2 linked regions of the Saccharomyces cerevisiae S288C genome follow. The protein of the gene in region 2 purifies or fractionates together with the protein of the main gene of each other region. This does not show direct contact. Each region holds a gene or a part of one and is shown on either strand. Other genes may lie near its edges. The genes, in order: TDA10 and PTC3.

Region 1 (3,463 bases), on a different chromosome or scaffold from region 2:
CGTACCAAGGGCATAATAAGTCCCTTGTTGGTTGTAGCGCTGGTAACTTAAATTCAGGCATCTGAAACCTAGTCACTGTTTCTTGTGGAAAATCCTTACCATATTTGTTGTAGAGGGGAATACGCCGTAGGAGTTCTTCAACATTATTGTTCATTTTTTTATGCGATAAGCTCCCATTGCTATTTTCCTTTCCTTTTTAATCTTAATTAATAGCAGTAATTTTTCCAAAACCGCTTAAATCTCGGACAGCCTCTGAACGGTATTTGTATAAGAAGGACAATAAAAGCTCTATAAAAGTTTTATGATGGATATGTAACAGATAAACAATTTTTTTTGCATACGACAATTATTCAAGAGTTGCCTTGTCAAAATTCTGAACCAAAAATACATGAAATCATTATAAAATTATCTGTTAGTACATAAAATAGAAGGGAAAAGTGAGATAAATTAAAAAAAAAAAAAAAAAAAAAAAAGGCGTAAAAAAAAAGGTCATAACATCACTATTCAATACATCTCGTTTTCGTAGAATATACATTCCTGTTGGAGTCGATTCCTAACGTCAATGTAGCAATGGAACCTAAACTTTCACTCCGGACAAAGTCGTTCAAATAAAGTTTATAGGAGGGCATGTATCTATCCACAAAAGCATGCACTTGTTCGTCGGTCATCCCCTTTCCGACCTTTGATATTAGTTCATGCTCCTGTTGTAGTCTCCAGCCATAAACATTGTTAATGTTATCGGTGGTGAATACTATCCCTAAAGATTTGATTTCTGGGTTGCGCCACAACAAGTCGCTATAGAAGAAGAGCTTGGCATTGACATCAACCATGTCCCCAGTAAGAAGATCATTATTCTCAATTCCTTGCAAAATGGGGTTGAACCCGAGGAACCAACCTTCTAAGATAAAAATATCGACTGGTAGCTTGATTTTTTGACCAGTGGGGCAACGGTCCCCTTCTCCTTTAAATTGGGATTTATCGTACTTGGGTAGTACGACAGTATCTTGATCCGGATGTTCATTATTATTGAAGATGGTGTTCAATACCTCTTGCAACAATTTCATATCATGAGTACCTGGTAAACCACGTCCTTGTAACAGCTTATTGTTCTTGAATTGCTCATTGAGTTTCAATTGGTCCTCGTGAGTTAAATAAAAATCATCAATTGAGGCGTAACCGATAGATTTTTCACCCCCATATTTTTCCATCAAATGGTTATAGATTTGGATACTTGTAAAACTTTTGCCTGAGCCTTGTGGGCCCGAGAAGAAAATGAACAAGGGGCATTTATTTCCCGTCTCAAACCATTCAGGTATATATTTATCCAAGAATTCTATCGTGTAGTCCAATACCGTTTTTGACTTATCACACATTTCTAGCTTTACTACTTTTTATATTATTCACTTCAGAGATGCAATGGAACGCTTTTTCCTTTGTGTCTTATGTATATCTTCGTTATTTTATTTCGTTCCGCCCAAATATTGTGCTAGCCAGTGTTCGCTTGTCTTGGTATAGTATCATTTAGATTGCTAAAAGTTTCATACATTTATTGTTCTCATTAATGCGTCTCCCCGCTTCGTTTGGTAATTAGGTTTTCTCCTCCTTAACGGAATCGGAAATTTTCGACGTTAAGGAACTGGGGTTAAATTAAAGGAAAAAGGGTCGCGGAACGTTAAATCCCCTGTGTAAAAAAAACTATAAATCATTATTAGTCCCAATAGTGTTCGTATTATCGTTATTATTATTATACATCCATACTTTAAAAAAACTTTTGCATTTGTCTTTATTAAATTCTATATAATTAAGTTGTCTTAGAACAGGCCATCGATCTCACCGTCATCATCGACTTCCACGGCCATGTAACCAGCATAGGTAGCCAAACCAGGAATGGTTTGTATTTCGGCGGCAAGAGCGTATAAGTATCCAGCACCATTAGACAATCTGACGTCTCTGATGGGGAAAGTGAACCCGGTTGGAACACCTTTCAAAGTTGCATCGTGGGATAAAGAGTATTGTGTCTTGGCGATACAAATTGGCAAGTTACCGAAACCTTGTTCCTTGTACATGTCAATCTTGCGTTGTGCTTCAGGCAAGATATCGATTGCGGCACCACCGTACATCTTTTGAACGATAGTAGTTAATTTGTCTTCAACGGAGGAGTTAACGTCATATAGGAAATGGAAGTCCACTGGTTGGTTGGAAGCTTCGATGACGGCCTTGGCCAAGTCGATAGCACCTTTACCACCTTCGGCCCAATGGTTAGAGGTTACGGCTTCAAATGCACCAGCTTCCAAAGCGGCTTTTCTAATGGCGGCTATTTCACCTTCAGTGTCAGTTTCAAACTTGTTAATTGCGACAACGACGGGGACGCCAAATTGCTTAATGTTGGCAATTTGTTTACACATGTTAGCGGCACCTTTTTCGACAAACTCGATATTCTCTTCAGTGTATGCGGAAGGTAAAGGTTGGCCAGGTTTGACATCTGGAGCACCACCGTGTGACTTCAATGCCCTAACAGTAGCAACCAAGACCACAGCATTAGGTGTCAATCCAGAGGAACGGCACTTGATGTTGAAGAATCTTTCACCACCCATAGTGAAATCGAACCCTGCTTCAGTAACCACATAACCAGCTTCTGTTTTTGCCTCTGGCTCGGTACCAACCAATTTCAAAGCCACGCGATCAGCAATAACAGAAGAGGCACCGATAGAGATGTTGGCAAATGGGCCGGCATGGACCAAGACAGGAGTACCTTCTAAAGTTTGCATCAAGTTGGGCTTGATAGCGTCTCTTAATAAAGCGGTTAAGGCACCGGTACAACCCACATCTTCAACAGTGACTGGAGACCTGTTTACGTCAGCAGCAACAACGACTCTTCCAATACGTTCCTTCATGTCCCTCAAGTCCTTTGAAAGAGCAAGAATAGCCATCAATTCAGAAGCAACGGTGATATCGAATCCAGTAACTCTTGTGTGGTTCTTCTCGGTAGGGGCTTGACCAATGGTGATTTGTCTTAACATTCTGTCGTTGATATCGACCACCCTCTTGATAGTAATAGTGTCCGGGTCAATGTTCAATCTGGCGAATTTGTTGATCTCTTCGGGTGTTAGATCATCGGGGTTGGTCTTTTGAATACCCAGTCTGTTCAATCTTCTTTGCATGGAGGGAGTAAACTTTCTCTTTCCGTTCTTTCTAGGCACTAGTCTGTTGTAGAAGGTAGCGTCGTTCTTTTGAGTGGTCTCATGGAACATTCTAGTGTCAATAGCGGCAGCAAGTAGGTTGTTAGCCGCACCAATGGCGTGAATGTCACCAGTCAAATGTAAGTTGAATTCGTCCATTGGGATGACTTGGGAATAACCACCACCCGCAGCACCACCTTTGACACCTAAAGTGGGTCCTAGGGAGGGTTGTCTGACGTTCGCAATGGCTGGCTTGCCCAAGTGAGCCGTTAGTGCCTGGACAA
Region 2 (3,762 bases):
TCACAAGAGAAATTACATTTTGGAAGGAAGGTTTTCAAGTGGCCGATGGTCCGCTTTATCGCTATGATGATCCTGCGAACAGTTTCTATTTGAGCGAGTTAAATCAAGGGAGGGCTCCATTAAAGCTCTTAGATGTGCAATTTGGACAAGAAGTTGAAGTTAATGTATATAAAAAATTAGATGAGTCTTATAAAGCTCCGACGAGAAAACTGGGCGGTTTTTCAGGCCAGGGCCAAAGACTAGGATCTCCTATCCCGGGTGAATCGTCACCTGCGGAGGTTCCAAAGAATGAGACACCCGCTGCTCAGGAACAACCCATGCCGGACAATGAGCCAAAACAAGGCGACACCTCCATCCAAATTAGATACGCAAATGGCAAAAGAGAAGTTTTGCACTGCAATTCCACAGATACAGTAAAGTTTTTGTATGAGCATGTGACATCAAATGCGAACACTGACCCATCGAGGAATTTCACCTTGAATTATGCCTTTCCTATCAAACCAATAAGCAACGATGAGACAACATTGAAGGACGCTGATCTGCTGAACTCCGTTGTCGTGCAAAGATGGGCATGAGCATAAATATACAAAAACAGAAACGGGAAAAGACTTCAACTTAATATATAAATGCACGTATATCTATACCCGTAGTATATATCATTTGTACCTCAATACAATTTCAAATCACCTGTTATTTGATCCAATACTGCTTTTGGAGCAGGTCCTAAACCCAATACGGTGGCACTTCCCGCAGCAATCTGTGTTCTACCAGCATCATGAATAACTGCTGCATTCACCCCAAGTGATATAGCCTTCGCATACAACTCGTCCATTGTAAACTTATCTGGACATTTCAACGTTATTTTAGCCTGTCCAGCATTTAGCCATCTTTGTGTCATAATTGGGTTGTATGAAGCACGCGCGGGGTTTGTAGCAATATGTCTAAAACATGACAATGCTGCGTGACAGCATTGTGCCGCTATTTTGCCCTTTGTCATGCCAAGATCTTGACGAATCACCAATGCCATCCTAACTTCTCCAGGTATATCATTCAATGAAGTGGACTCAATATCTTCGTCCTCATCGCTCTCATCTTCGCTTTCACTTTCCTCCTCATCAGTGTCATTGTGTAGCTTTCCTTCCTTCATTTCTTTAGAACGCAGTAAAGTAGCTGAGGATTTCTTAGTTGATGATGCGTTCGACGTACCCAACTGGTAACCCACGGCAAAGGAGATTGCGGTGAAAGTAGCCCATAAAGCTATGGTGTAATTCGAAGAAACTGTCATCTTTTCCATTAAAAAGACGTTATCATGTTACTCCGCTGTCAACAAGTAATATAGCAAGAAACAATTAGCTCTTATGCTTAAGAGCTTCTAGAAGAGTAGTAATAACCTTTAAACATTATTTTCGTCAGGCGTGATATCAGCGAGTTGAAGAAAAAACAACATGGGTTGTCCCTCAAGAGAATAAACTCAAAGGAGTAAAAGGTGTTTAGAGCTTGTTGGCTCGATTGTTGCCACCGGAAGGCCCCTTTCTGTTTTTAGACTATATTCATTTTACTTTTTGAAGTTTCTATTATAGGCAGACGAAGAAGGCCAAGAAGACAAATCGAAGAAAGAGAGAGATAACATGGGTCAAATATTGTCCAATCCAATTATCGACAAAGAGCATCATTCTGGTACGGACTGTTTGACAGCGTTTGGACTATGTGCCATGCAAGGCTGGCGTATGTCCATGGAAGATGCCCATATTGTTGAGCCGAACCTTTTGGCTGAGTCTGACGAGGAACATCTCGCATTTTATGGTATATTTGACGGTCATGGTGGTTCTTCTGTAGCGGAGTTTTGTGGCTCTAAAATGATATCTATACTGAAAAAACAGGAGAGCTTCAAGAGCGGTATGTTAGAGCAGTGCTTAATAGATACCTTTTTAGCTACAGATGTTGAGTTGTTGAAAGATGAAAAATTAAAAGATGACCATAGTGGTTGTACAGCAACTGTGATATTGGTATCTCAATTGAAAAAGCTACTAATTTGCGCCAATTCCGGTGATAGTAGAACAGTTCTATCTACTGGTGGTAATAGTAAAGCAATGTCATTTGATCATAAGCCCACATTGTTAAGTGAAAAATCTCGTATTGTAGCTGCTGATGGTTTTGTTGAGATGGACCGTGTTAATGGAAATTTAGCGTTATCAAGAGCCATAGGTGATTTTGAATTCAAATCTAACACAAAATTGGGACCTCATGAGCAAGTCGTTACATGTGTTCCTGATATCATTTGTCACAATTTGAATTATGATGAGGATGAATTTGTTATTTTAGCATGTGATGGTATTTGGGATTGTTTAACTTCTCAAGAGTGTGTTGACTTGGTTCACTACGGTATAAGTCAAGGTAATATGACGTTGAGCGACATTTCATCTAGAATCGTAGATGTTTGTTGTTCACCCACAACTGAAGGCTCAGGAATTGGCTGTGATAATATGAGTATTTCCATTGTTGCTTTACTAAAGGAAAATGAATCTGAGTCACAATGGTTTGAGCGTATGAGATCAAAAAATTACAATATCCAAACGTCTTTTGTCCAAAGAAGGAAAAGTATTTTTGATTTCCATGATTTTTCGGATGATGATAACGAAGTGTTCGCAATAACCACCAAAAAATTACAAGACCGCTTGAATCGTAGTAAAGATAATGACGACATGGAAATTGATGATCTTGATACCGAATTAGGCAGCAGTGCTACTCCCTCAAAGTTATCAGGTGAGGATAGAACTGGCCCTATTGACTTGTTTTCGTTGGAGGCTCTATTAGAAGCCGGGATTCAAATAAGGCAGAGGCCCAGCTCCGACAGTGACGGCAACACTTCTTATTTCCATGGTGCTTCTTTATCAGATATGTTGGCATCTTTAAGCAATGCGGCTGCAGGAGAAACAGAACCTAATGATGCTGATGATAACGATGATAACGACGGCGAAGAAAACGGCAAGAATGAAAATGCGAAGAAGGGTTCCAAGATTGAAGAAATTGAATAATAAATATTGTCGAACCGTACTTTGCAACGAAAGAGTAGTCAAACTTTGTTATCTTTATTTGTTATTCCTCTTCTGCCGATGGATTGTTTTTTACTGGATCATCTTTGCGGCCCATATTGAGGAGATGGTGAAATTCATAAAAATCATTACGAGAGAATGATAAATTGTAACAGAATTTATAAATCCTATTCATATAGATACATCTGTTTTTCCTTACTCTGTTTTTATTTTGTTGGTAACCTTTGAATCCTTTTTGATGAAAAAAATAGAAAAAAAAAAAAAAAAAAAATGAAAGCAATATCGACTGTATGTATATGCGCACCATAATTTTCCTATTAATAGTTTAAGCATAATTAGTGTACTTACTAAAAATAATGTAACTTTGCTCTTTGCACCAATAGATGTTACTCTCCAAATATCTTACAGGTCGTCTTCCACGTGGTATCTATCAAAGTAGCCAGATCCACGTCCTTGACTTCCGATACGACAATTGCTACTTGTTCCATATTACAAGGCTCATTACGGCCCTTGACCATGTAAAGTTCTTCTGCATTCAACTTGTCAGCGAGCTTATTTTTCTTAACGGACTTGAATGCAGGGTATTCGAAATCCCTAACCTCCTGGTATTTGGCTAAGTACTGGAAAGATGCATGCGTTCTTTTAATCTCACACCACGGAGCATCTGTCTCTAATAACAACCTTTCTGTTGGTATTTGCTTTACAACAG

The links.
Region 1: the proteins of PTC3 (region 2) and TDA10 purify together in Saccharomyces cerevisiae (affinity purification with mass spectrometry, with the first as the bait; 2 studies listed by BioGRID). This does not show direct contact.

Annotation. Positions count from the first base shown.
Region 1 is NC_001139.9:907,123-910,585, reverse strand, and holds TDA10 (putative ATP-dependent kinase), read right to left. Parts: upstream 1,374-3,463; coding exon 501-1,373; downstream 1-500. Other genes in the region: ubiquitin-binding ESCRT-I subunit protein MVB12, read right to left, coding at 1-154; YGR204C-A (uncharacterized protein), read left to right, coding at 1,412-1,525; trifunctional formate-tetrahydrofolate ligase/methenyltetrahydrofolate cyclohydrolase/methylenetetrahydrofolate dehydrogenase ADE3, read right to left, coding at 1,812-3,463. UniProt on the Saccharomyces cerevisiae protein: ATP-dependent kinase whose specificity is not yet known.
Region 2 is NC_001134.8:112,134-115,895, forward strand, and holds PTC3 (type 2C protein phosphatase PTC3), read left to right. Parts: upstream 1-1,628; coding exon 1,629-3,035; downstream 3,036-3,762. Other genes in the region: protein phosphatase regulator SHP1, read left to right, coding at 1-575; PTH2 (aminoacyl-tRNA hydrolase), read right to left, coding at 668-1,294; YBL055C (3'-5'-exodeoxyribonuclease), read right to left, coding at 3,440-3,762.